Astyanax mexicanus: one gene and its partners. The protein of the gene in region 1 interacts with the protein of each later gene in a pairwise test. Links are inferred from orthologs where the notes say so. Each region holds a gene or a part of one and is shown in the gene's direction. Other genes may lie near its edges. The genes, in order: type-1 angiotensin II receptor-associated protein, fars2, myg1 and regulator of microtubule dynamics protein 2.

The links.
Region 2: the proteins of type-1 angiotensin II receptor-associated protein (region 1) and fars2 interact in binary tests that used the Homo sapiens proteins (3 or more experiments, as listed by UniProt). The two-hybrid records come from large-scale screens. The link is inferred for Astyanax mexicanus from reciprocal best matches to the Homo sapiens genes AGTRAP and FARS2.
Region 3: the proteins of type-1 angiotensin II receptor-associated protein (region 1) and myg1 interact in binary tests that used the Homo sapiens proteins (3 or more experiments, as listed by UniProt). The two-hybrid records come from large-scale screens. The link is inferred for Astyanax mexicanus from reciprocal best matches to the Homo sapiens genes AGTRAP and MYG1.
Region 4: the proteins of type-1 angiotensin II receptor-associated protein (region 1) and regulator of microtubule dynamics protein 2 interact in binary tests that used the Homo sapiens proteins (3 or more experiments, as listed by UniProt). The two-hybrid records come from large-scale screens. The link is inferred for Astyanax mexicanus from reciprocal best matches to the Homo sapiens genes AGTRAP and RMDN2.

Annotation. Positions count from the first base shown.
Region 1 is NC_064431.1:8,274,879-8,282,552, forward strand, and holds the start of type-1 angiotensin II receptor-associated protein, read left to right. Parts: upstream 1-4,662; 5' UTR 4,663-4,773; coding exon 4,774-4,800; intron 4,801-5,675; coding exon 5,676-5,710; intron 5,711-7,674. UniProt on the Homo sapiens protein: Appears to be a negative regulator of type-1 angiotensin II receptor-mediated signaling by regulating receptor internalization as well as mechanism of receptor desensitization such as phosphorylation.
Region 2 is NC_064413.1:47,016,067-47,023,213, reverse strand, and holds the start of fars2 (phenylalanine--tRNA ligase, mitochondrial), read left to right. Parts: upstream 1-4,147; 5' UTR 4,148-4,228; intron 4,229-7,147. Other genes in the region: LYR motif-containing protein 4, read right to left, coding at 3,912-3,997. UniProt on the Homo sapiens protein: Is responsible for the charging of tRNA(Phe) with phenylalanine in mitochondrial translation.
Region 3 is NC_064431.1:32,591,011-32,598,741, reverse strand, and holds the start of myg1 (UPF0160 protein MYG1, mitochondrial), read left to right. Parts: upstream 1-4,728; 5' UTR 4,729-4,788; coding exon 4,789-5,004; intron 5,005-6,132; coding exon 6,133-6,245; intron 6,246-6,901; coding exon 6,902-7,061; intron 7,062-7,244; coding exon 7,245-7,394; intron 7,395-7,731. UniProt on the Homo sapiens protein: 3'-5' RNA exonuclease which cleaves in situ on specific transcripts in both nucleus and mitochondrion. Involved in regulating spatially segregated organellar RNA processing, acts as a coordinator of nucleo-mitochondrial crosstalk.
Region 4 is NC_064414.1:41,539,058-41,546,846, reverse strand, and holds the start of regulator of microtubule dynamics protein 2, read left to right. Parts: upstream 1-4,771; 5' UTR 4,772-4,880; coding exon 4,881-4,921; intron 4,922-4,940; exon of another isoform or gene 4,941-5,258; intron 5,259-6,632; coding exon 6,633-7,058; intron 7,059-7,789.

The DNA of each region.
Region 1 (7,674 bases):
GGGCAGGAAAAGGTAGTATAGGGTAGTATTGGATAGTATAAGGTTCTATAGGCTAGTGTAAATGAAAAGTGCAGTATAGGTGAGTGTAGGGAGTAGAACGTAGTAAAAGGAATTATAGTGAGTATGGGGAGTAGTAGGGCATAGCATATGGAAATTTTAGATGGTATAAGGAAGGATAGGGAATGTAGGGTAGTATGGTGTAATGTAGATAAATAAGTAGTATTATATTAAGTATAGGGGAGTACATGAGAGTAAAAGATACTAGAGTGAGTGTATGGTAGTATGGAAAGGAAAGGTTAGTATAGATAGTATAAGGTATATAATGAGAATGGGGAGTAGAGTGTAGTATAGGGATGTTTTACATAATATAAGGTAGTATAGGGAGTGTAGGGTAATAAAGGGTAGAAAATGGGAGTATAGGGAAGTGCAGGATAGTACATGGAGTTCAGGGTAGTATGGGGTTTATATTATGGTGAGTAGAGAGTAGTATATGGACGTTTTGGAGAGTATAGTGTAGTATAGGTAGTGCAGGTAAGTATGGGATAATATAGAACAGTGAGTATTAAGAATATTGAGTATAGGGTAGCATATAGATTACATGAGAGTAACAGAGTAAGATAATAGAGTGAGTGTAGGGTAGTAAAAAGAGTAAAGGGAAGAATAGAAAGTATAGGGTAGTATACAGAGTACAGGGCAGTATAACGGATTATAGTGAATTATAAAAAAAATAGGGTAGTATAGGGAAGAATACTACATGGTTCAGAGCTCAACTAATGTCAGACCCCAAACATTGTCTGATTTAATATATTTGCGCAAAATAGAAACAAATGGTAGATTAGATTTTTTGCTAAACACAATAACACTGTTTAGCCAAGGGAGACAGAGATGGAGGTCAAAGGTCACACCTGCCACCGAACACGAGTGAGTAGGCAGGTCCCATCTGCCAGACGCGTGGCACACAACAAAGACGTCCATCCCCACAGGGTGTGAGAGCACCCCCCAAAACCGGCCTTCTGTCTCAACTCTCGTCTAATTCATCCAATCACAGCTCATAACTGACTTACAGCTAACGAGCTGTCGCCACACACACAATACACAGCGCAGCTGGCTAATTCAACACACCCGCATCCGTCTATCACACTCATAATTGAGTTTTTTATAAATGTAGGCTGGTAGATGGTCTCCTGGCTCTGGGATTTTGTGCTTCAGGGGGCTTTATCAAATCAATGATTTAAATGTTGCCTGATTTTAATGTTTAGATGACAGTAGATCATGAAAATTTGTCTTGATTTGCTTTCGCTTTGATAAGTCTGTGTAGACCTTTTCTCTCCTGTGTGCTCAAACCTTTTTAATAACACGGCCCAAATACAATACATGAAAGAAATTGAATTGTCATGGTTGATATTTCACACAGGACAACTCATTTCTGTTCCGGGGATCCCATGATGGAATATAAAATGTCACGATATAATGTAATTCAGTAGACTCATAACCAGGGATTTAAGCACAAATACAGACTCCCCACCAATAAAGCTGAGCGCAGACATACAGGCTGAAACTCACCCGCCTCAGGGACTCCACACAGGTATTTAAACCCAGATTTACTCTCAGTGCACCAGCAGAATGCACAAATGAAGAAAATGAATCACTGTAACTGAAGGGAAAGAATGTTAAGAAGAACAAGGTGGATAGATATATTGATCTATCTAGCTTTTCCAGTCCCTGTAGAGAAGTGTTATATAATGCGAGGTATTGAGCTGTGGAGCGGTCGAACTGTGTTCTCTGGAACTCCACCCAATACTTTTGGAATGAGGTGGGGAAGACCAAAGCTATCATAGGTATTGAAATTAATGACCCAGGTATAAGTATAGATAAGAGAGTATAGATATTAGAGTTTAAAATACTTCTGTAGAAGTTGAAGTGTCAACTCAAGCTTTTTAATCCAGTAAGAGTGTCTAAGTATTGGTTTCAGAATTACTTAAAAATATGAAAGTAAATGTAATGGCCCTTGTTGGTTTCTTGCATTATTTATTTGCATAATAGTCATATCCTCCACTCCTTACTCACTATCAGTGTGTAGTCTTGTCAACCAAGGCTGCCTTTCCTTTAGTACTCAGCTAATAGTTATTTCTATTTAGTCAGTCAGTTAATTACTAACTTTTATTCCAGGGAGTTTAGCTTGTGTTTTTTGTCTTTTAGTATAAGATAGAATCACCCTGCTTCCCTTCTGCCAGTCAAAATCAATAACACTTTGCAGTAAAGAAAACGGTAACTTGCTTTTATGCCCTACAACCAGTAATGTTAAACTCAGATTTGAACTAAATCAATTTATTTGAAAAACACAGTGTTTCGATATACTGCTTTGAAGTCTGTATCAAAACAAATAAATTCAAATCAGCTTTCATTACATCACAAAGTTTCAAAACATATATAATAAATAAATATATAATAAAGCTGACTACTCAGCGTAGCCCCAGTGGACAAGACTACACACTGATGGATTGAACTGATTTTGTGACGCCATCTTTACTGAATACTGTGGTACTGTGACAGTACCACACCCACAGAGCACACTAGCACACAAGCTTTTCATGAATTCATTAATTTATTGAATTGTGTAATACATTGTGTTGAAATAATAATGCATCCCAGCACTCACATAACAGTAGAGCATATACAATCACTTATTACAGCTGATGTCCATAAATTTTGGGATTGAGGGCCCTCTCTGTTGAGAATGGGTAATTGCACCAAAAACGAACTGGCACATTGAATCTAGATTAATGTACCTTGAGCTCTTCATCGGTGGTTGACAGGCACGTGTGTTTATTGCGTGTAACGTCACCAAAATACCACATTTAAAGTATAGTTACTGTGGGCCATGCAGTGAAAGTAGTAGAGACAAACATACATTTAATATAATCTTTTAAGAATTTAAAGGTCCCTTTCCGCTAAAATCCACTTTTTCTTGTTCTTTGTGAAATACAGTAGGTCTCTCTGAGTTGTATATTGATGCTGCACATGAAACTGTTCCTCAACCATTGCCTGCAGTAGCTAGTAAATGTTCAGAAAAACGAGTCGAGCAGTAAAAGCACAGTCTCTACCTTAATCTGTGAATTAATATTCATGGCCTTGCCCATCATGGAGCTAACAGGACTAGAAACAGCATAGCAGTTTGTTCCTGTATTATTTGTGTAAATAATATATTAGTGTTATATGCTTTTCCCCAGTAATTCAGAGGTTATTCAAACAGTTAGAATTTGTCTGTAGAATACCACCAGCACAGTACAACTGAGATAGGTAGGTGTGTGTTTACACTAGTTAAAAGTAAAAAGTGCACCCAGGAGTTTGTTCTGAATGCCTGGGCGGCTCTGCTGCAACTCAGCTGATTTTTTTTCTTTCTGGACCTGGATTACCCACCTCCATGTGTTTACATATGATCTCTGGTGGATTTTGTGTTTTACAGAGACTATGAGTCTAAGTCAGTGGCTTACTTGACTTAGCAGGGCATTACACATGTTGTAAAGTAACATATGACATTGCAAATACTGTCATTAGTGTAAAAATGTCTTTATTTTAAAATGTTTCTATCTGTTGTCCATCTCGCTGCAGTCATAGTGCTGTTAGCCAATCAGAGACGATATGTTTGCATGTATGAATATTAATGAGCAAAAGCAGAAATCCTCGTTTCTCCCACTCCACTCCTCCACGGGACTAAAGCACAGTTATGCCGAATCACCAGAGCACAAAAACCAGCACACATGGCATTCATTCATACTAGAGACCACAACTAGACATTTTAAAGTTAATTTAAAAATTATGGAATAAGACTTTTAAAGCAATAAAATTGAAACAGACACAAAGTAGGGAAATATGCTCGCCCAGATAATATGGGTAAGGATAACAGAGACTCTATTATAGATATTATTTTATTTACAGACTTCATTGCGCTCAGATAGATAGATAGTAGGGGTGGGCGATATGGCTCTAAAATAACAGTACGATATTTCAGGGTATTTTTTCGATAACGATATACTTGGCAATATAGGAAAACAGAAAAAATAATTCATTAACTTCAGGAATATAGTATAATAGTATAACAGTATAATCATAATGTGGCAAAATAAATAATATAGCCTAAAATAATATAATGCAGCAAAAAATATTGCAGAATATTTTCATGCATATAAACTGAAAACAAAAACTAAACTAAACTAAAACAATTATATAATACATACACCTAAATCTTCACAGTAAATAATGGACTACTTTTAAGACAGAACATCTCTATTATCACGATATGGATTTTTAATATCATGATATTTCTGTGTTACGATAAATTGTATACAATATAATATTGCCCACCCCTAATAGATAGATAGATAGATAGATAGATAGATAGATAGATAGACAGACAGACAGACAGACAGACAGACAGACAGACAGACAGACAGACAGACAGACAGACAGATAGATAGATAGATAGATAGATAGATAGATAGATAGATAGATAGATAGATAGATAGATAGATAGATAGATATTATCTGATTTGATCAGTGGAATGTGTTATTAGGCAGGCTGTGAGATGCTGTATAAGACCTCAGTGCTCTCTGGCGTTTATTTAGGAAGGAATCAGGGTCACGTGGTGGAGTCATGCTGCAGTCACATGGCTGAGTCCGGCAGTGCAGCAGCAGCAGCAGCACAGTGCTGGACTTCACTAACTTTTCCCCCAGTCTCAATCTGAAGTGCTGAGGACAATCACAGCTCACAATATGGAAATCCCGGCCATAAACCTCAAGGTAAACATTAGCCTGTGTTTAGATTTGCTGGCTGAAGCATTAAAGAGTCAGCTTTTATTAGTTTATTAATTCTATCAGCAGATTCTGCTCATCAGGTGTTTCTATTAGAACCATTATCTCCATCCTTTTATCTGCTGTGTTTTATCTGATTTAATCATGTTATACAGGCAGAATGTGTTATTTTATGATGTTCTAGATGTGTAACAGGCTTTATGGTTGCACGTGAACGTCTTTGAACTGGATTAGTGAATTTGTGTGTGTGTGTGTGTGTGTGTGTGTGTGTGTGTGTGTGTGTGTGTGTGTGTGTGTGTGTGAGTGTGAATCAGTGTTTGCTTGTATTGCTATTTCTGAAAGCACCAAATATCTTCACAATGAAAAGATATGAAAAAGTGAATTAAAGGTTTTGGATATTGTGAGTAGGTTAAAGCGTTAGGTTTACGATGCTATTGCATTACTTGTTTACAGTATATTGTAAAACACATATTAGTGTATTTTATTATACGTTTAACTTTCAATGAAAGTATTTTTTAAAATTAATATAACTTATTATTTTATGCCTTTGTCCTTCCTGGCAAGCTGTAGTGGACAGTAACAGACCAGACATTTTTAACAAATTAAATGTTGATGGAAACTTGATTGACCTAGATTTGCAAGTTGTAGAATTTTTCTTTGTAAGCTTGATCTGTTTTGATTTACTCAAAATATTTTATTACTGTTATATTTCACCACAATAGAATAGGTTAACCATTCCACTGTATGTGTTATAATATAGTGTGTTTATTATTAATATGTAGGTTACCATTGTACTGTATATTTTATAATATAATGTGTTTATTATACATGTGTGTGTGTGTGTGTGTGTGTGTGTGTTGTAGGCCATCGTGCTGGTCCACTGGTTGCTGACTATCTGGTGAGTAAAGTGGCTCCTTGGTGTTTTTCCTCACGTACCTGAGGAATTTCCCCAGCTGCTCCGTCTGTTTGTGAGAGGTTGGGATTTTCAGGGCTTTATTTGGGATAAATGTCTGGATTGAAAAAGGCTTTCACTTTCCTCACGGCTGATCTTGTCTAAATAGTCAATCCCACTGATTTTAATCAAATGAGGCAATACAAATAGAGCCGCAAGGTGAATAAAGCAGGGAGAAACAACTACATTGCAATGCAATATAAAAAAAATACAGAATTTTTTTTTACCAATTTTTAATTTTGTGCTGAAAAGTGAAATCTTCCAAATAAATATGTATACAAGTAATATAACATTTATTGTGTTGGGAATGTTTTTTTCAAACACTTTATACAACTAAGTGAAGCTAAGCAACATGACTATTTAAATGTATCATGATAAATTTACTTGTCAGATCTTTTTAAGCATGTAGAGCATATAATTAGTGTTTAAATTACTATGACCCAACTGTACATTTCATTATAGAGAGTGTTCAAAATCCTGTTTAATTGGTAAATGTGCAGCAACTATCACTGTGCTGTGCATAAAATAGTTGAATTCTGTTTTTTTAAGAATCTGCCGCTGTTGATGCATTTTGTGAGTGTCAAACTTTTGTGATAAATATTGTTTATTGTGTTACTTACACCATGGATGCAGGCTTTTATACTGTATATATCAATACGGGAATTATATCAACATAAATAAATAAGTGCTTTTATCTGGGGTGCTGTTAACTTGCGGTTTCAGAGGCTGGTAATTTTGATGGACTTACAACAGAGGTAACTCTTACACTTCCTTTCCTGGGGTGGTCCTAATAAGTGGAATGTTTTGGAATGACTGACCTTTATTTCTTAAAGTATATATTTTTTACTTAGTTGAGTAGTTATTGCCTTCGAGTAGAACATTACTCAAATATGCCTATTCACTGTATACCAACTCTACCTCTTCAGAACTTAAAATTCAAGTAATTAAGGCTTGGTGAGTTCAGCACAGCTGTTAACTGAATGCCTGAATTCCAGGTGACTCTACCTCATGAATCTGACTAAGAAAATCAAGCCAGGATGTGCGAAAATGTCATCTAAGCGAGAGATGCTACTTTAAAGAATCTAACAATTTAAATGATGAAAAACTACTGAATTTATGGTGTGTCCAAACTTTTGGCTGGTACTGTATATTGCTTGATAATTAGCATATAAATAGCATTTTTTTTTCATTTAAAACCCAAAAAAATAAACATTTCTTGATACTCTCTGATCCAGATCTACTGGGTTGGATTGATACACCCCTATTAGAGGCATTAAACTCTGATGATTCCCAATGACTGGGGTGAATAGATTCATTGTGCATATCAAACTAACTGAGTGTAGCTCTCCAGCCAAAAGTATCCAAAGGACAGTGCATATTAGAAACTGCTGACTGCTGATGAAGAGCTACAACTGATAAAGTCAAAAACACACACCAAGATTCTGAGCAAATGCGTCTCAGATCCGCCAGTGAGCATTATTTCCGCATGACTGAAATACCTCTTAGTTTAAAAGCATTCAGACATGAATTTAGCTCCTTATTAACAGACTCTGAATTCCTGCAAAACTTGATATTCAATTATTTATCACATGTAAATGCTTAGAGGTGTGATCTAATTAGAAACTGGGCCTCTTAAGCCACAAGAGGATGTAAGAGTGTCTCCCACTGACCTTTTAAAAAGGCTTTCAGAGGTTACTTTTGGGCAGTATACCTTTTGGTGAGAGATCACTGATTAATAGACATGCCTGTACAATGCACTCAAATGCACAGTCCCACCTTTGCTGTGGAGTGATACACCACCCCAACTGCTGATAAACTACTGTGATGATCTAGATTGGATTGCATTGCAGACGACAGTCAGTCACCCCTAGTAGTGATACAAGGGACTTCCAAATGCCATTATTCAAGTT
Region 2 (7,147 bases), on another chromosome or scaffold:
ATATCCATATTGTGATAATAGCCATATTCTGCAGTCTATTTCAGCAGTTTACTCTTATATTGCTTTGCTATTTAATGTGAAGCTTTAATGTTTGTAGTTATATATGCACACACTAAATAGCTTGCACTTATTGTATTGTGGTAAGTCTTTATGTTACATTATATTACATAATTTATTTTGATACACTTTATTATTGTTATTGTTATTATTATTGTTATTATTATTGTTGTTTTTATTATTATTATTATTATTATTATTATTATTATTATTATTATTCTTAATCAGTATTATTTTGTTACATTAGTATATTCATAAAAATAAATGTTCGGTTTAATTGCCAAGAACACCGAAAAAATGTATGTTTAAGGGCCTCGTTTGAATGTGTTGAGGCAGGCTGCATGCGCAGAAGGTTTTCGTTTCAGGGTTTAGAAAACTGTTATTCAAGATTGTCTAAAACATGCAGGCAGGTACAACATAAGCTCTTATCTAGGTCAAGAAACAAGCAATAAGTTATACACAGGAAATAAACAAGAATAATGCCATTCTTGCATTATTACCTCTTTTATAACCTTTGATTTTCTTACCTATGATTTTATGATTCTTACTAAATTATTTTTATCTTATTTATTTCATATCTTATTAAAGTGCTAGGTCTTTTTATTTATTTATTCTTTTTCTTTGACAATCACTTCCCTATGTATTGGCTCAGCTACATTGTAAATGAGGGCCACCCTCAATGTACTTTAAATAAAGGTTGATTGATTGATTAATTGATTGATTGATTGCGGTATAATGGTAATACTGTATAGCACAGTACTAAAACATTTTAACAAGGATGGTTCATACATATCACTCATGAATAACTGATATATCACATATGCTCTATGTCTCGCTACTACAGGCCAAAATACTTAATTCATTCTTGTGCATTTAAGATTGACCCAGAAAGGGGGCACCCACTAAATTTTATGTAGCTCTCTGAAAAGAGGTGGTGGTGGTGGGGGGGGGGGGGTATATATATTAAAAAACGAAGAAAAAAAAACAAAAACAAAGTCCACCTAAGTTGTTATACACTCAGGCAAAGAAATATGAAATGTGTGCCTCAAATCTCTCTGAAGATGGGTTAATCTAGTAGCTAAAGTTATCTAGATAAAAAGCTAATTTCTATATTTGCTCCGTCCAGTCGCTCAATCATCATTCTCATCTAAACAGTTTACTATAAGTAGAGTTTCAGACAGACAGATTGGAGTGTGTTCTGTAAGCTTGCTGGTTTAACATTTACTGTATGTGTTCAATTGGTCTGTAAACAAACTAAACTTTGTATTTTATTTTTTATTTTTTTTTCAGTTTAAAAAGAATCCAAAATTGGATGGTATTGTGGCCAAGTAAACACAGGACTTGGGCAGTTTAAGCAAATCCCTGTTGCTAGTATATAAAAATGAATCTGCCCACCCCCCAGCAGTAAGTCTATTTTTTGGTAAGTCTAAAAAAAAAAACTGGACCAAGCCACCACAATGTATTTTACAGCAGAACCTTTAAATCCGTTGTGGGGTGTGACCTTCATGGATGCAATGACCCTGTTGCCATATCACCACAGCATAATAAAAAATAAACATGTACAGACTGAATATAAGGACACTAATAAAGCTGTTACAATCTAATGCAGCTATATGCTATAGTTTTGTAACTGCTTTACTGAAACAGGTGTGTCCCCCTTTCCCACTTTTGGGAAAAACAAAACACAGCAGCCCATCTCTCACTGTAAGAAAGAGAGGCCACCTGATGAACTTCATGAACTGTTATTTTAATCTGGTCTGCATACAGCCCTCAGACTGTCAATGATACAATGGTACAAAATAAAGCTGTAAGAGTGAAATGCAGCCTAAATACAGGCACAGCTCTTAATCTAGCCCTACACATCGAATCACCTAAAACCAGTAGTACAGGGAAGAATTTATTTAATTAAACACCAGCAAAATAACAATACTAAACACACCTCAAAACCCACAATAAAAGCATGACCCAGGCATTTATTAATAGATGTGGTACCGTCTTTTGAAAATGGAATCCAGTTGGCTTCGAATTCTAACTCTGTTTCACCCTAAACAGTTACATTAAGTGCGGTCAAGGTTATATTATCTTAACATGTGATTAACTTGGAAACATTAAAGTGTTTTTTTAACACAAATATATATATATATATATATATATTTTTTAAACAACTTTGGCCTCAACTTTAACTACTAAATGGGTCAGGGTCTGGGCTGTTAAGGCCCCCTGGCTAATGATCTGCTACTGTATGTGACCTCTGACTGATTCTTTATACGTTTAATTGTTTTCTTATAGATTTTAAAATTGCCCAACAAGAGTTGAAGATTTCTAAATGTACCAATAAATCACAGTGCTCATTAGAAAAACATAGAAAACATGTTTTAATCCTATTTACTGGAGTTTTCCCTTAACAAAAAGGGGATAAACTACAGTGAGTTCTGCTACTTATACGAGTACAGCTATTTTTAATACTACTGTTTCTTCTACTACTGCCAGTACAACTATTACTACTACTGCTAATAATACAAATATGTTTGCTACTTCTACTACTATTGCTAGTACTACTGCTACTACTTCTAATAGTACTACTGTTACTACTGCTAAAATACTGCTAATAATACAAATACTGCTGCTACTTATACTATTATTGCTAGTAATGGTAATACTACTGTCACTACTGCTAATAATACTGCTACTACTGCTAGTACTTCTAATAGTACTACTGTTACTTCTACTACCACTACTACTACTACTACTACTACTACTACTACTACAACAAATACTGCTTATAATACAAATATTGCTGCTACTTCTATTATTGCTAGTACTAATGCTAGTTCTACTGTCACTGCTGCTAATAATACTGCTACTACTGCTAGTACTTCTAATAGTACTACTGTTACTTATACTACTACTACTACTACTACTACTACAGCAAACACTTTTTTAAAATACAAATACTGCTGCTACTTCTACTATTATTGCTAGTACTAATGATAGTTCTACTGTTACTACTGCTAATAATACGGCTACACATACTGCTACCATTCTGTTAGTACTTCTATTACTAATATGAATACGACTGCTAATAATACTGCTACTACTTCTGCTAATACCACTACTGTATGGCTAATAATACTGCTAATACTACTGCTCCTACGTATGCTAGTACAACTGCTAGTGGTACAGTTTTTACCACTGCTAATGCTAATAATACTGATACTTATACTGCTAAACCTTCTTCTACTACTGCTAAACGTGTTATTTTAGTACACCAGTAAATAGAAATGGCCTTATGTTATGGTAAGGTGACGTTTTACCATTTATTACACAATCCTTAGTAGTTTTTGTTTGCATGGGTCCCCCAGAGCTAGGCTAGGCTTCTTCCTAAAGCTTGCCAGTTTGTTTTTTCCCTGTGCATATGTTTGTTTTTACAAACCAAAGCTGGTTTACAAAAAAAAAAAAACGGGCTGTAAAGAATTTATACAAATAAATGAACTTTCTCAATAGTTCTTTTTTTCCTGAAGGACTTTAAAGGAGTCTAGCTAATGAGCTTACACAATATACTTCTGACTGATTCGTGTACACTTATATGGGCTTTAAAGTTTCACAACAAGAGCTGGAGATTTCTAAAGGTACAAAGTAACCGAGAAATAAATAATAAACACAGAAAACACGTTTTAAAGCAAATTATTGGAGATTTATTTAACAGAAAGGGGATAACTACAGTGAGTTGTGTTGTCAGTGAAAAGAACCCAGACTCCCAACAGCTCTACAGTCTACACACCCACCTCACACAGCCCCCGCGCGCAGGGCAGGTGTGTGTGGTGGGGTATTAAGGGGGTAAATTGTGTAAATACCTGTAGTTATAGGAGGGGAAAGCCCTGCTCTCCTTCAGCAGACTCCGGTACAGAGACAGCACCTGCGCTCTACTGGACGCCGCCATCTTTCCCACAAAGGCGACTAAAACACTGCCTGAACAGAAAACCCGCCTTTATCGCCTCTCGCGCTCCGACTGCGGAGCAAATAAACAGTTTTATAGTTTAAACAGGCTGTAGAAATAAAGCGAATTCAGATATTAATCAGTGTACAGCGCTGAGCGCGGGGCGGGTGTGTATATTGATCAGGCTCGCGCGCAGGTGAGGCGTGTTTCTGACAGGCGGCGGGTCTGAGAGAGGTGAGTGGGACAGTCTGAGGGCTGCATGTTTATTAACTTAATACTGTTATTATTTATATTATTCACCTCCTCCTTCTTCTCTAAACTCACAGCTCATTTATACTGCGCGTTCAGAGCACAGCCCGGGTTCAGCTCCGTTCTCTGTGTGTTTATAGCTGTGTTTACTGTGTTTACTGTTTACAGACTGACTGATAAACTCCACTACTGTCACTGAGATATTATATATATATATATATATATATAGTTAGAGAGAGAGAGAGAGAGAGAGAGGGAAAGTGGGAGAGAGAGAGTGAGAGAGAGAGGGAGAAAGAAAGAGAGAGAGAGAGACAGAAAGATGCACACATAGAGAGAATGTGTGTGAGTAAGAGAGAGAGAGAGAGAGAAAGAGACACTTTTGACTTTTGGCACGCTTTATTTTACTATTAAAAATTTACATTACACAAAAAAAAAATAAAAAAGGGTCAAACTAAAATAAGTGGCTTTTCTATTTTTCTGTGTGCACAAGACCAAATAATCTTCATTAAAAAACTAAATCAATTTTCAATCTAATCTTTATCAGAGTTTTAAGCATGTCTCCAGCATCCTGAGAGCCACCCTCCTTCAATTTGTTCTTCCTAGACAGTCACACAGCAAGCTTAGCCTGGCCAGTATCTCTCTTTGTGAAGAGAGAGAGAAAGGGACACAGAGAGAAAGTGTGTGAGTGAGAGACAGAGTCTGAGCAAAAGAGAGACAGTTACTGAGAGCGAGAGACTGTGTGTGGGAGAGAGAGACTGCGAGAGAGAATGTGTGTGAAGGAGAGACAGAGTCTGACTGTGAGAGAGCGAGAGACTGTGTAGGAGCTGGAAAGACAGAGGTAGAGAGACTGAGCACGAGATTGACAGAGAGACTGAGAGAGAGACTGAGAGAGAGAGACAGATAGAGAGACTGAGAGTGTGTGTGTGAGAGAGACAGATAAAGAACCTGAGAAAGTGTGTGTGAGAGAGAGACACAGGGAGACTGAGATAGTGTGAGAGAGAGAGAGAGAGAGAGAGAGCATGAACATGTCGGCACGTGTTGAAGGAGTTTGTGAATGTGACTGTTTAGTGAATGTTTTCACTTCAGCATTATTAAAAAGCATTTTGCATTCAGCATTATTGAAATATATTGACATTGAAAGTATGTAAACATATGAATATTACCAGTTAAAAGTAGGATACACCTTAAATATGCTGTTTGTTTTTTCATTATTTAAAAAGTTGTATAAAACAATATCCTTTGTAGATTAATACTAAAATCATACGACTAGGGTTGCAACGGTATGAGATTTTCACGGTATGATAACCGTCTCAGAAAATACCGCGGTATCACGGTTATCACGGTATCACAGTTTGTTACATATATTATTAAACTGACCCTTAAAGAAATTACAACAAAGGTTTTTTGTTCAATTAACTATTTATTGTAGAAACCTGGAACAATTATAATTTTAATGTCTCCTTAAAAAAAAATAAGCTGTATACCATCAGGTGAAGGAAAAATTTTTTTTCCACTACTCTTAAGGGCATTAAGAGTGTATATAAAAAAAATATATATAAATATATATAATATATATACACACATACACACACGTTACACACATTACATGTCCTCTAAGAAGTAAAGATCCTGTGTTTAAACTATTCAGTACAATTATTTAAGTTTAAATTATTTAATATCTGATAAACTGAGCCTGGGTCAGTGTCTGATCAACAACTGTTGTAAACGTCCGTTTTACTGCCAAGTTGGTATATAACCAGATACTGCAGAAAGAGGGGATTTATTTCTGACATGATCCTCACAATAGAGATTTCTATTTTAAGGCTTTCACACCGAGTCTGGTTTTAACATTTGAAAAACAGGCACGTCAGAATTTGAAAATGAACGCATGTAAATGAATGGCGTCTTTCACATCCAGTCCGGCCAGGACCTTTACACGGACACGTGAATCCATCGTAGCACGCACTTCACGCCTGTACCTGCGTGCCCAAATTTCGGATAACTCAGCGCTTTTGCGGGCGCTTACTGCATGGGTTGTGCACGACTACAAAGAGGTTTTATTTAGGTTCAGATTAAAATTATAAGCTAAACACATACTTTGCGCTGCACAGCGGGGTGGTGTTCTCGGAGATGGGAGAACAGGTTTGACGTATGTCCACCTTTAGCTGTGACTTTACGGCCACATTGATTACAAATCGGATAACCATCCTGCGTTCGGCGGGTATCCGAAATAGTCCCACACTGCTGATTTTAGTTTAGCCTTTTTTTAGGCGGACGGAGATTTGTTTAGTCTGATGCACTTTCTGTTGTTCTCACCGCTGTGTGCTGAGCAGCTGAAGCGGAGCAGAGTTGCGCATGCGCGGGTGAGTTTCTCCGCTGGCTTGCGTTTTACCGGTAATAAGCAAACACACACGGTATGATAACCGTGCATTTTAATACCATGGTATACCGTGAAACCGGTTACCGCTGCAACCCTACATACGACCTATGGAGAAAAACACATGGATTTAAGTATTAAACAAACCAGAATATGTTTTATATTTTAGATTCTTCTAAGTAGCACGTCTTGGGTAGATGACAGCTTTGCATATCTTGGCTGAATTTTTTCAGTCAGCTTTATGAGGTAGAGTCACTTGGAATGGCTTTCAGTTAACAGCTGTACCTCGTCAGGAGTTAATTACTTAAATTTCTTGCCTCTTAATGTGTTTGACTGAAATCTGTTGTTCTTTGTTGAATACTGATGTGAAATAACTGGCTTACAGCTTGTTAATCTGCTGTGATTTGTGTTTTTGTAGCCTGTGTGTATGGACATTAGCAATAAACTCGGTTCTGAGCACAGTGTTTAGTGGTGCTGGGCAGTAATGTCTATTAATGGGGCCTTAAAAATGTCCACTAGGGCTGGAC
Region 3 (7,731 bases), about 24 Mb from region 1:
TCAGTAGAGTGCCCTTTCTTGAAACCAGATTGGTTCTGGTCCAGGAGGTCATTTTGGGTGAGGAAGCCAGAGACTTGATTGAGAGCTGCTCTTTCTAATGTTTTAGAAAGAAAAGGCAGTAGTGAGACCGGTCTGTAGTTATCAACCTGGGCGGGGTTGAGAGAAGGCTTTTTAAGCAGTGGTGTGACCTGTGCTTGTTTAAAAGCAGTCGGGAATACACCAGAAGTTAAAGAGGCATCGATCGTGTGAGTAATAGCCGGAATGATTGCAGGTGCAATGGTTTGCAGAAGGTCTGAAGGAATCGGGTCAAGCGGACACGTAGTAGGACGGCTACGTGTTAGGAGAGCCAGTGTCTCGTTCTCAGTGAGAGGAGCGAACGAGGAGAAAGCGACGCCTTCGGTAGAGGGATACCGGGCAGCAGAGCATGATGTAGGACCGCTACATGTCGCATCAGTAAACTGTCTGCTGATAGCTGCCACTTTCCCAGTAAAGAATGAGGCAAGAGCTTCAGCCGTAAGGCAGGTAGCCTGAGGAGGAGGTGGAGGGTTGAGTAGTGTTTTGAATGTAGCAAATAGTTTCCGGGAGTCTGTGAGGGAGCTGATTTTTTTGTGATAGAATTCAGCTTCAGCAGCAGTGAGGCTGGCTGAAAAAGAAGCCAGGAGCAGTTGGTAGTTTTTTAGGTCTGTCTGGTTTTGCTTTTTTTGCCATTTTCTTTCAGCAGCTTCAACTAAGCTTCAGAGTTTGGAGCGTAGTTCCCTGAGCGTGTCATTTTTGAGCCATGGCTGCGGTTTGCTTGAGCTAATGGCTCGAGATGTTTGAGGACAGAGGTCGTCCAAACAGGAGCTTAGTGTGGAGCAGAGAGTGTCAGTGGCATCATTAACATTGAGTGATGAAAATGAGCCTAATGGAGGCATATTGTCAGTCACCAGCGAGGAGTACTGGTCTGCTGGGAGATCTCGAAGATTTCGGCGGAACGAGACCGTAGTAGGAGTAGCTGTGGGTTTTTTCGAAATGCGAACGTTGAGTTGCATGAAGAAGTGGTCTGAGAGGTGTAGAGGAGTGACAGTTAAAGAGTCGGTGTCACAGTTACGAGTGAATGAGCATCATAATGATTAGTATACTTCAGTCTACTTTATTTTCACTAGGGTTAATATATTTACATTGTTCTGTATGTAAAATACATTCATTTTTAATAAAAGCATATATGCAGCTGAAACACTTTAGGGAACCTAATGCAAAATCCCAAATTATATTATCAACATTAACATTTTAATAATAGAACATTATAGTCATTATGGCTTTTAGAAAAAATATATATTTTTTTTTACTTAATTACTTTATTTTTCCCTTTTATTACATTTCTTTTACTTTTATACTTTAAGTAACTTTGAAACCAGTACTTTTTTAAACACTTTTACTTAAAGAGTAAAAGTAAAAAGCTTGAGTTGATACTTTATTTAACTTCTACAGAAGTATTTTATTAAACACTAGTATCTATACTCTATTCTACATACAGAGTAATAACTGAGATTTAATTCTGCATCCTGGTTCTTGAGAATAGTTTATTTAAAAAAAAAAACAATATATATTTACACAGCTCTCTCTCTTACACTCATTTTCCCATGAAATTGCCCAACTAGGCCCCAGGAAGAGCCGTGTCTGCTCATGTTTAACCCCTGTTTAACCCCTCCTGCTCCCATTACTAACATCCGTATGCTGGGTAAACACTGAAGCCATAGACATAACATTCTCAAGACCAAGACTAAAAAAAGAATAAAAAAATATAATGGTTAATTATATATATATATATATATATATATATATATATTTTTTTTTTTTTTTTTTGCCCGACATCCTCCCTCTTCGGAAGTATATGCGATTATTGTGGATATATTACGAAGTAAATTGATTAGGCAAAATAACAAACATAAAAGGGGAGAGAGTGTAAAAACAGGCAGGGCTTTTAACACGGTCCCAATCAGTCCAACGAGTTCCAGCTGGGACCAACCGGGGCTGCGAAGTTTCCCCCACCTTCACATGTCACAGTATACAGCTCTGAAAAAAATAAGTTTCTGAATCAGTTTCTCTGATTTTGCTATTTATAGGTTTATGTTTGAGTAAAATGAACATTGTTGTTTTATTCTATAAACTACAGACAACATTTCTCCCAAATTCCAAATAAAAATATTCTCATTTAGAGCATTTATTTACAGAAAATGAGAAATGACTGAAATAACAAAAAAAAGATGCAGAGCTTTCAGACCTCAAATAATGCAAAGAAAACAAGTTCATATTCATAAAGTTTTAAGAGTTCAGAAATAATCAATATTTGGTGGAATAATCCTGGTTGGTTTTTAATCACAGTTTTAATTTCATGCATCTTGGCATCATGTTCTCCTCCACCAGTCTTACACACTGCTTTTGGATAACTTTATGCTGCTTTACTCCTGGTGCAAAAATTCAAGCAGTTCAAGCATCTTCCTTTTGATTAAATTCCAGATGTTTTTAAATTTGGTCAAATCAAAGAAACTCATCATTTTTATGTGGTTACTTTTAATAGTTTTTGCGCAAAATTAGCTCCAATTTAACGTGTATTTTTACTGGAAATAGATAAAATGAGATTTCAGTGTATTATACCCAATAAAGCTACAGGTTTAGAATTCTGTCTCTGTAACACGGCTAATATATCAAATTATTAGCTAATGACTAAAGCTTTCCTGACTTCCTGAATTCATTTTAATGGAAGGAAGACAGTAATCAGAGCTCAGTGAAGCATGCAGTGCGTTTAATAACCCATAAAGGAGTAGATTAACTCAGGAACTCAGGAACTCTGTTAAATACTGAAACTTCCCGAGGTGTTTCCTGCCTTGTGAAATATATCATCACGTGTCTGTAAGTGTCTGATGTGTAAATTCAAATATCACCATCCCGTATCAGTGAGCTCACGACTACCACACACTGAAGAATGTGAGGAATTCTATTGTGCTAAATTATAAATGGAAAGATAAGCTGTGTGTGAATAACCTGTGGTTATCAGTATGTATAAGATTTCCTCTGTAACAAGACTAAATCATAAGGAGTTCCCACCTGAAAATGTGATATATGTTCACATGAGAACGCATCATGAATAAAAAAAACAAATAACAGACCCCTTAAAAATGATAAGTTTCTTTGATTTTACCAAATTGAAAACCTCTGGAATATAATCAAGAGGAAGATGGATGATCAAAAGCCATCAAACAACCAAACTGAACTGCTTGAATTTTTGCACCAGGAGTAAAGCAGCATAAAGTTATCCAAAAGCAGTGTGTAAGACTGGTGGAGGAGAACATGATGCCAAGATGCATGAAATTAAAACTGTGATTAAAAACCAACCAGGGTTATTCCACCAAATATTGATTATTTCTGAACTCTTAAATCTTTATGAATATGAACTTGTTTTCTTTGCATTATTTGAGGTCTGAACGTTCTGCATCTTTTTTGTTATTTCAGTCATTTCTCATTTTCTGTAAATAAATGCTCTAAATGAGAATATTTTTATTTGGAATTTGGGAGAAATGTTGTCTGTAGTTTATAGAATAAAACAACAATGTTCATTTTACTCAAACATAAACCTATAAATAGCAAAATCAGAGAAACCTGTAATTAAATATATGTATTTCTTTTAGCAAAGGCCGCCCTCTGGTGGATTCATCATATCAACACAATTACAAAAACAACCTCAGACAATGAATGAATGACACATGCCTGCAAAAACATGTTTAAACGCTGTATAAAATGGACATTTTTAAAAGTGCAGTGTTTCATACATTTACTATAATTTTTTTAGGGCATCTCAAAAAATTTAATATCATTAAAAAGTTACTTAATTTCAATAATTCAGTTGAAAATATGAAACTCATATATTATATAGATGTATTAAACACACAGAGTGATCTATTTTAAGTGTTTATTTATTTTATTGTTGATTATGATTATGGCTTACAGGCAATGAAAACTCAAAATCAGTGTCTCAGAAAAAATTTATATTATTATATTATATAAAAACAATTGGTACTTTTGATACGCAGTGTGCCCAATGTGCTGCTGGAAAAAGAAATCCGCATCTCCATAAAAGTTCACTTCACACTAGACCTCGAGCAGTTTGGACTGTGTGTTTCTCCACTCTTCCTCCAGACTCTGCTCCCTTTATTTCCTTTAAATAAAATGTAAAATTTACTGATGATCAGTGATGGTTTGGAGAGTCATGTCAGTCATCTGCTGGTGTTGATCCACTGTGTTTTATTATCAAGTCTAAAGTCAGTGCAGTTTTGTTTTCCCACAAAATCTTACAGCACTTCATATCTTACAGCTTCCCTCTGCTGAGAACAATTTTGATAGACATACGGATTTCATTTTCCAGCAGGACTTGGCACACTGCCCACACTGCCGAAAAAAATACCAATTGTTATTATCTATAATAATATTCTAATTTTCTGAGACGCTGATTTTTGTTCAGGTTTTTTTATTATATCTATTAAAATAGATAAAATAGATCACTCTGTGTGTGTGTAATACATCTATATAATATATGAGTTTCACATTTTTAACCTAATTACTGAGATAAAGTAAGTTTTTGATGATATTGTAATGTTTTAATATGCATTAGTATATTCTGCTGTATCCTCCAGTACAGCAGGGGGCGGTAAAGCTGGTGTAGAAGTTTCTTCAGGCGCTATAGAAGAAGAGTAGAGGAGCGGTGGTGCGCATGCGTGCGGGTCAGGTGTGGTGTGTGTTAGGGATGATCCGATGAGAATATTTCAGTGTGTGTTTGTGTGTATAAACAGAATATCTATAAGAAGAGGTTATATAACTCGCGGGGCTCCGGGGTATAGAGGTTATATGCAGAGCGCTAAGAGAGCCTGTCTGGAGATCAGCACCATGAAGATCGGAACCCACAGCGGATCTTTTCACTGTGATGAAGTTCTGGCCTGTTATTTCCTCAAGCAGCTTCCTCAGTACCAGGTTACCCCTCCTCTACATCTAATACTCACTATTATTCACTATTGTATTAACATATACAGCTCTGGAAAAAATAAGAGATCACTTCAGTTTCTAAATCAGTTTCTCTGATTTTGCTATTTATAGGTTTATGTTGCAGAAAATTAGAAATGTCTGAAATAACAAAAAAAAAAAAAAAAAAAGATGCACAGCATTCAGAAATCAATATTTGGTGGAATAACCCTGGTTTTTAATCACAGTTTTAATTTCATGCATCTTGGCATCATGTTCTCCTCCACCAGTCTTACACACTGCTTTTGGAGGATAACTTTATGCTGCTTTACTCCTGGTGCAAAAATTCAAGCAGTTCAGTTTGGTGGTTTGATGGCTTGTGATCATCCATCTTCCTCTTGATTATATTCCAGATGTTTTCAATTTGGTAAAATTGAACTCAAAAAGAAACTCATTATTTTTAAGTGCTCTCTTATAGATATATTTTTCAGAGCTGTATATATATATGCCACTATAATCGGAAGAGAGAGCTGGTTCGAATCCTGTTCATGCAGCTTGCCATAAGATAAGATAGATAAGATAAGATAAGAAAACTGTATTGTCCATTAAATTTATATTGAATGAAAAATTTGTCTTTGGCAGTCTGGCAGACAAATACATGAAATTACAGAAATACAGTAAGTAAGTAAGTAAAAAATTAAAACAAAAGACTGCCATCAGCTGCCAGAGCTCTGAGAGAGCACAGTTTGCACAATTGTCCACAATTGCTCTCTCTGGGTGGGTACAGTACAGTAGATGGCGCTCTCTCTTTCCCCTCATCACTCCTAGGGTGATGTGGATCAGCACAAGGCTGTGTCTGTGAGCTGATGTATCAGAACCGAGTCGCTGCGCTTTCCTCCGAGTGTTAGCGCTGTGATGCTACTTGGTAATGCTACAGCATCAGCAGCAGCTCAAAAAGAGGCAGAGTCTGTCTTCACATGTATCGGAGGAGGTGTGTGCTAGTCTTCATCCTCCTGGTGTTGGAGCATCACTAGTGACAGGGGGAGTCCTAATGAGTGGGTTGGGTAATTGGCTGTGTAAATTATGATTTTTGTGTAGTTTAAACTTTAAATCCAGTAATTGTCTCTGTGATTCTGACAGGATGCTGAAATAGTTCGGACGCGTGACCCGGTAGTGCTGGAGCAGTGTGACATAGTGGTGGATGTTGGAGGAGTGTTTGACCCTAAAAAGCACCGTTATGATCATCATCAAAGGTAATTCTGTCTGTTTTAGAGTTTAGATTCACCGACCAACCTGAACTCTGGCCGTTATCTCCATTCAATGTTCTGTAAGTAGAATAATGAATGAATACTAGTGTTTAATAAAATACTTCTGTAGAAGTTAAAGAATAATCAACTCAAGCTTTTTACTCTTTAAGTAAAAGTACAATAAAAGTACTGATTTCAAAGCTTATACTTAAACTATAAAAGTAAAAGTAATGTAAGGGGAAAAAATAAAGCCATTAAGAACAAAAGATTAGGCCACGCCCACAGAGTCCTATAGTGCACTACCCCTTTATTTATCTGGATATTTAGATTTATCTAGATTTATCTGGATGGGGGTTTTATTAAACGATGAGAAGCTGGAATGAAATCGAGCTGAAATGAAACAGGAGTAACGAGGCTGTTTTTAAAATGTAAGGAGGAGAAAGTTCAGATAATTGTGTGAAAATTTAAAATAATTATTTCACTAAAGTTAAGATAACCTACATTTCTACTTAAGTAAGGTAATGAAGTAAAAAGCATGAGAGATCAAATCTATTAGAGTGGGTTTTTAGTTACATAAAACAAAAATACAATAGTAATCTTGTTTAAAATGCTTTTTTTATAGACCAGTTTGATTCTAAGGGTATGTTTTCTGTTTAAACCAGGTCTTTTGTAGAGACGTTTAACAGCCTGTGTCCGGAGAAGCCGTGGGTGACTAAACTGAGCTCAGCCGGTCTGGTTTATGTTCACTTTGGTCGGCAGGTGCTTTCCCACCTCACACACCTGCAGGAGGACAGCAGAGAACTGGGAATCCTCTATGATAAGGTTCATTTCTTTAACTTTTCTAACTTAAAATAACGTTTTGTTTGAGATGCAGAAGTACTTAGCATAATTTTTTGACAGTCCAAGTTTATTTGGAGCTTCATTTAAAATGGAATAAATACTCAATTCAATCTTAATTAATCACTCAATTATCTTTCTGATCTCCTGTTTCTCCGTTTGTTTCAGATGTATGAGAACTTTGTGGAGGAGGTGGATGCAGTGGATAATGGGATTTCTCAGTGTGATGGAGAAGCTCGTTACACCGTGACCACATCCCTCAGCGCTCGCGTCGGGTATCTGAACCCGCGCTGGAACAGCGAGTCTCAGGACACTGAGGTTCGTGAGGTTTGAGGTTGATTAGAAGCCTCTGACATTTTTTCTTCAAATTGTTTGTCCAAGAAAATGAATTCAGTTACACACGTTTTGTTATAGACCCTTAATTTCCGTTTATTTCCTTAGTATGTATTGGAACAACACACAAAAAAAAATGAATAAAAAGGCAAAATTGTTAAAATTTCACATTAAATTCAAAATTATGTATAAATAACTTTGTTAACTGAACGGCTTGAATTTTTGCACCAGGAGTAAAGCAGCATAAAGTTATTCAAAAGCAGTGTGTAAGACTGGTGGAGGAGAACGTGATGCCAAGATGCATGAAATGAAAACTGTGATT
Region 4 (7,789 bases), on another chromosome or scaffold:
AAGATATTATACAAGTTGGAAACACTCAGCCAGCGAGAAAGACAAACTGTGATCTTCAGCTGAGAATTTAGACTGAGCATGGTGCATGGTGGTGGTAGGATCATGCTTTGGGGCTGTTTAATGCCAGTGGAACTGGTGCATAGCACAAATAAATGGAATAATGAAAAGCGCTATCTATATGGTATAACATTAAACCATAAACTATATCAGGCATGTTAAACCTTTGTGGATACAGGTTTTCATACCAGTCAAGCAGGAAAATTCTTCATAATTAGTTTGGACTGAAGCACGTCTGTCACTTTGGATTTGAGGAGGCCCTTGTTTGCTACACTGTGAATAATGAAAAAAATACACACTGAAGTTCGATTTGAGCAACCAGAGCTTCCAGACTGAGACACTCCTGTACACATTATATTGTAATTGCATTTCACACTATCTTAATATTTGGTTCGGATCCAATTAGCAAAAATTTGATTCATGTGGTTTATGGCTGACAATCAGAAATCAATCTGGATAGTAGATACAATATAAACATGCCAAAAATCTGATTTGGGCTGTCAGTCTAAACGTAGCCTTGGACACAACTGGTTTATTTCAGCAGAACAGCAACCTTAAACACACATCAACTGTAGATGTAGAATGGATAAATTCAGCTAACATTCCCAAAGTCCTATACATTCTATATAAATTATGATAAATTTTGTAATGAGTATTTTAATATTAATATTCTCAATATTAACATTTATTTTTCACAAGTAGAACCTTCTCTACTTGAAATACAATTCCTGCAACATATGAAGATAAGCAGATGTGTCCAGGCCCTAAAAAATAACATTAGTAGCCAGTCAGAACAGCCTTGCATGAAATGACAACACAGTTCAAGGTTGATCAGATTAACTATGTGTTCTTGAACTGCAGTCCGGCACACTGTTTTGCTCTGAAGAGAGAGAAGACCTCCAACACACAGCACAATCGTCTGCTCTTGTAAAGTAAGTTTTGGGTGATTTTCTATTCTTGGGTTCACTGCTAACTTATATTTACATAAACAATGTGTATAGATAGTAATTCGTTTGTATATTTTATTTTGTGTTTGTGTACATGTAAGTATTCGGTCATTGAGCAGTTTGAATATAGATTTATGCTATACTAAACTGAAGAACGCAGAGTACAGAGAGTAAAGTTAAAAACACATTTTGTTTCATAACCAGCTGCTGTCTGTTTAAAGTCATTGTCAATTTTACAAGATGTTCATTGAATTATTGCTATAAAGTGTTGTTTCAGGCATGCTGCTCTGACTCAGGTAACAGTTAATGAGTGACTGTAATGAACTTTGCCTTTTTGCTTTGGTAGTTAGGTTTGGAAGTTTAACTATGATGTGGTATGACTCTCATAATTAACTCTAAGTGAAGACATAGGGATCTTCAGGTCAAGCAAGATCAGTTTTCATGGACATAGGAGCTCAAATGCTGCACTTGTTATTGTGAGTGTGTATTATCTATTTTATGTGACACCAATAGCAATAAATTTCACTGCCAATCATCCAATGTCCAAAAGGCACTTTAACTACATCGCAGGGTGATATTGGGTTAAGTAAGGTGGCAGATTAAAGATAAAGAGGGATAAGAGGGATGAAGATTGGTGACACTGTGATTTGTTTTGCTTAGGGTTTGCTTATGTGATTTATAAATTAATAAATGCTTTTGATGTAAAATTGCCATTGTTTGTGTGGCTACATCTGAATAGGCTAACGGAAAGTGTGTTGGCACTAGAATTCATGTTTTATAATGTGAACTGGGCTAAGTGCTTGTTCTTTGGTTGGAAAGTGAGCTGATAAGCTAAATTAATATATTGCCAACGATAATTTTTGTCCGCAATCATTTTTTATCAGATTCTGATAATAAGCTGTTGTTAATATGGGTTAACGGTGGAAGGTGAAAGAAGAGGTCTATCATGTGATAGGAAAACAAGGGTTGTGCTAATGTTGACGACAAATAGGAACAAGTTACTTACTTTCTTAAAAGTCATTACATAAACACATTAACTCTCCATTTAAAGATATGTTTATATTAAAAATACACTGATCTTGACCTAATTAATTACAAATCTAAACTCTACATGAAGATGACATTAAAAACCCACCAAACAAATATTGTGAATAGTAATACTCACTATTGTGCATGACAACAGCTCTGTCTGGTCAATGAAAGGGCTCCACAATACCTCTGAAGGTGTCCTGTGGTGTAGAACAGGGGTGTCAAACTCATTTTGGCCGAGGGCCACATTGGCATATTGGCTGTCCTCCGAGGGCCAGATGTAACTTATAAATATAAGAAAATGTAACCAAATGTAATATATGTAAATGAATGTAATTACTCCTTAATGTTAAATAACTCTCAATATATTATTTATTCAATCAAATATTACAGTTGCATGGAAAAAATGTTTGCTTGTTGCTCTATTAACATAAATCCTGTTATGAAATCCAAAAACTCCATCAATCAAGAACCAAACTATACAAGTGAATAGAAATGACATAAAATACAAGTTATATTAACTTTGATCAAAACGTTTGATACTGAAAAGAGGCTTAATTAATATAAAATCAAAAATTGTGAGCTGTGACAGATTTAGCATTTCCTCATCCAACCACTAGTGGGAGCTGCAGCAGCACAAGCCCACAGTCTTTACTGAGTCAGAGCTACAGCCCAGCCACGGGCTACAGGACTCAGCTGAGCCAGTCTGGAGCGTTTTTAAAATTTTAAGTTCTTCTGTGTATGAAATAAAATAACCCCACTAACCGGATAATACAGCTCTCTACAGTTCATATTTCAGCCCAAGCAGCTAACAGCAGCAGTTTAGAGCAGCCATCCCGGAGTCACTGCTCGGATTACATTATAAACAGGTCAGTTAGCGCGCTGCTAACCTCAGGATGTTTATAACTACGGAGTTTAGTGGACACACCACGGCTGCAAGGTTAGACTGTTGAAGAAATCAGTAAAGGCTGGTTAGATAAGTGATTCACCTCCTCGTCCTTTGCTGAGGTGAAACTGCGACTAGCGATGTCACAGTGATGTTTATTAACCTCATTAAAACAGATTTTATCAGCTATTGTCTTATAAATATTTACACATAATTTATATCTCTTCTAAAAAGCGTTTATTTTCGTCAGTAACACAAAATGCATACCGGTCTTTCGCCTTGAAGCACAGCCGTCCGTCTGCATCAACTTTTCTTTTTCTGGATATTATGGGATAAACATGTCTCAATTCCACCCGCGAAGTTACACCTTCCCTCCGGCAGGGTTTCCACATCAATGACTACACTGCCGTGTAGTGGCAGTAAGCCGTAACTTTGCGGGTAATACAATCGACAAGCATTGTGGGAAATGTATTTTTTGGTCAAAGAACGCTTCTGACCTATTTATTATAGACACTAAGATTTTACAAGCTCTCGCGGGCCACATAAAAAGACGTGGCGGGCCACATTTGGCCCGCGGGCCTTGTGTTTGACACATGTGGTGTAGAATCAAGATATTAGTAGCGGACCCCATAAATCAAAGTTAAGATGGAGATCTGGGTCCTTCATTAATTGTGAACCATTAAACATTTAAAACCATTAACAGCTGCCGGTAATAACATATCCTACTATTTTGTATGATTTATGCAACCATATGTAAACCTTAAACTAGGTCCCACATGGCATGGATTTGGAGAATATGGATTTTCAACACATTATTATGTATTAAAAATTAAATGGCAGATGTTGATATTGTAATGAAATGTTTGGCCCTCAACCCCTTAACATTTTACACACAATAATGAGAAGTTGGACATACTGTATCTTGCTGCTTTTCTCATGTTTCACACCAGAGGAAGTGACATCACTGGGTGCCGGTCACATGCTTTTATTAGAACGGTTTATTCAGTTTAATATCAGAGGTAAAAGAGTTAACAAGAACAATATGATAGACATAAAAATGTACATTTTTAATTAATGAAAATAAATATTCAATTGAAAATAAATATTCTATACAATTGATTTTATAACTGTTATTAGTCACAAAAAGTACATAAAAGATTAATAATAAAAAAGTATACAAAACTATACAAAACCCGCTCAATAAAGATGAATATTTCTTATTATTAAAATAATAAAAAATATATACTTTTGTAAAAAATATATATATTAATAATGAAATTATATTTGTGCAAAATATTTCCTTACAAATAATGATAAAATTATGCTTTTATAAAATATGTATTTAAAAATAATAATTAAATGACACTTTTGTAAAAAAAAAACGCATTTAAATACTAATAATTAAATATACCTTTGTAAAAATCTGTATTAAAATATTTATAATGAAATTATATTTGTGTAAAATATATCTTCAAATATTTAAAAATAAACTAATAAACTAAAAGTAAACTATTTTTTCAAATATTAATAATGAAATTATACTTTTGTAAAATATGTATTCACATATTATTAATATACTTTTGTGAAATATTTTATTAATATTATTAATGAAATTATATTAGTGCAAATATTTCTTTAATATTAACAGAGAAAGAGAGACAGTTATTTCTTATGCAGATCAGTATTTTATGATATTATGAGGACAGTTATGGTTAGCCCCTAGTTTGGTGTCCGTTCAGCGGAACCTTTATTATTTGTATTGTACAGAGGAAAGGCGGAGTGCACTCCGGACTGTTGTTGAAGGTGCACCGTGGCTGTCAGGTGCTGGAGAGTGCTGGTGTGAGCAGTAAGATTAAGGCTGGGCTTTTCTCCTCTTTTTCACTTTCTCTGAGTTTCTCTGAACTGCTCTGCGTCTCTCTGTGTCTGTCTGTGTTTCAGGGCGACACTGTTGTGTATTCGTTATGTTACAGTTTCGTAGTAATCACGCTGCGACCGTCCTGAGGTCAGTTTGGTAGTTACTTAGCGTGGCTAGTTGTAGCTGAGCCCTGTAGGTTAGAGTAGCTCAGTGCTGTAGGTTAGCTGCCCTGTCTGTGTCAGCTTCTGTAGACTCTCTACACAAACTTATTTTGGTTTAAAAAAAAACACACGTTCAGAGACGTTCTCCTTATACAGTTATTATATTTGGTGAACCAGACTGAAATGTGTGCTCTTTAAATACCCAGATAGTAACTAGTGTTTCCTGTCTGGCTGGTCTGTGGATAATCCGGTTTAATCTCTCCTCTCTCACCTATGGAGCCAGTTTAAGACTCACACACCAAACAGTGATTAAGAAAAACTAGGTAAGGTTGTATCCTAGGTCTCGGTTTAAAAACATTAATTTCCATGTTCTCTAAAAGTGTGTAGCACTAATTTTCCAAACCTGTAAAAATGTCAGATAGCTGCCTTTCTGAAATCATTAAACTACAGAAGAGAAAGTAAAGAAGCAGGTTACTTTATTTTAGTAATCTAGTTAAGAATATGAAATGTATATATTCTATAGATATATTAGACGGAGATTGATCTAAAGATGTGTTGTCTTTAAAATAGTATAATTGCTTTGTTATGCTATTTTATTATTAGTATGTTAGTGGCATGTATTTGTCTTAAAATTACAATAATATCGTATATTATCCACACAAAATGACAAAATTGTTATTGTGACCGGCCTAACATCAGCCCAGCATCTGAAAAAAGTTTAAACAGTCCTTAGATATAGACATAGATTCAGCCTCAGATATCACACACTCACACTGTGCTGTCATGCTGTTAGTTTCTCCTGCAGTGTAGTATTATGGAGTGTTTCTGTAGTTTAACTTTGACTACTTATTGTGAGGTGTTCAAATAAAACTAGCTTGTTCTGAGTTTTCCTGATGCTGAAAAAATGTTTTGTGGCACCTTTCATGTTTTCCTCACCATGTTGCAGTAATGATCTGTTATTAGAAGCAGAACTACAGTACACACAGCCTATCTGTTGAATCAGCTCAATGTGCATCACTCACTGTGTCTCCTAAATGATCAAGAAGAGTGCTGCAAAATAATAGGCTAATTATCAAATACATTTGTAATGACATCAAAGCATCTGAAGGCACAATTTTTTTTGACAATTTTAATACTTATTTAGCTTAAAACAGTTGTATCTGTTGGATGAGCCATGTATGATTTTCTTGATTTTCTGTTTGCATAACACAAACCACTGCCATTCATTTTTTGACAAGAACTTTGAAACGTACAGTCTTTTCTTGAGAAACTTAGTATAAGATGAAAGATTGAAACTGAAATGTGTAGCTGTGTTGTTGCCCAAGTCATAAAAACAGGTTCAACTAAAAAAAGCAGGTAGGAAGACAGTTTGACAGTTAACACTTTTAAAAGGTAAATGATTGCTTGATTTTGATATGTTTGGCTAAAAGCCCAAAATACTTTACTTTATTAAATGTGTTATTTTTATTTAGAATTATTTAAAAACTTACAAATGTAGTGCAGCAGAATTGACACTGATTGATGCCTTAGCCAGTGCTAGTATGTTAATCTCTGCCTTAATTATTAAGAAATAAAACACCTACAAATAAAACAAGTACATACTAATAATATATTGAGTAATATAGTATATTTAGGGTTTGGGTATATATTTTGAAGTATTTGTGTCAAGTTTGTATTCACATTCTCTGTCTTTGCAGGATGGCTCAGGCTGATAACAAGGTCCTGGCACTGGGAGTTCTGGCTGGGGCAGCGGGGATCAGCCTGGCTGCTGTCTGGTATCAGAACCGGCGTGCTGTAGCCAGCAGCGCAGGGTCAGGCACTTATCGTCCAGCTCTGTACTCCAGTAGCAATGCGGGCAGTGTGTCTCTGCAGACAGGTCAGGCAGAGGTGTTGGATCGGCTGGGGGCTTTGATCCAGTGTGTGTCTGAACTGAAAGAGGAGGTGAAAGCTCTGAAGGATGCTCTGCCACACCTTCAGGACCACGTGAGGGATGAGCTGAGAGTGAAAAGTGGGGCCCGTAAGGCCAGTCCTCTCAACAGAACCACACCCACGAGGAGGAAAAGAACCAGTGGAGTGCCCAGAGCAGAGGGGCAGAGCTCAGAGGAGGCGGAGAGTGAAGGAGGGTACGTACAGTTTTCTGCAATTTGTCTAAAACAGTTTTGAATTTATCACGACTGTAGTCAACCACAGTAGACTTATCAGTACACATTTCTGAGCTCATATCTAAGCTCCTCTGGTGACTATTAAACACTTTCCAAATAAATAACCAAATTTGATCATGTGATACGTGAATCAAACATACTAACCTTGCACAACCTCTGATCATTTTATTGCTGTCCTATATATGTAGTATATATATATATATATATGTGTGTGTATGTGTAGTTTTTTTTAAACCCCCTGAAAAATGTATCCATTTCATTTTAACTTATTCTTTCTGTGTGTGTTAACTGATTGGCTGTTGCACCATAAATTCCAACTAATACTAAACAAACTCAAGTCAAAGTGAACTTTATTGTACATTAGGCTATACAGCACGGAGTGCATTGCTAATGAGATTGTGTTTCACCAGACTCCTATTTGCAAATGTAACAAAATAAATATATGCTAGACAATTAATGTAAGAAATACATGGAGAACAAATATATATATGAAAAAAAGGAAAACGATTGCACATTATGTGGAATATTGCATTGTTCACAAAGGCAGTGGATACTGGTGGGCAATTGATAAAGTGCTCAAGGTTTGTGAACTGTAAGGCACATAACATTATTTCACAAAAACAATAGCTGCTTTTAAGCACGACTCAGACATGCAGTTTGCACAGTGCTAATCAGAGTGAAGGCCTTCCATT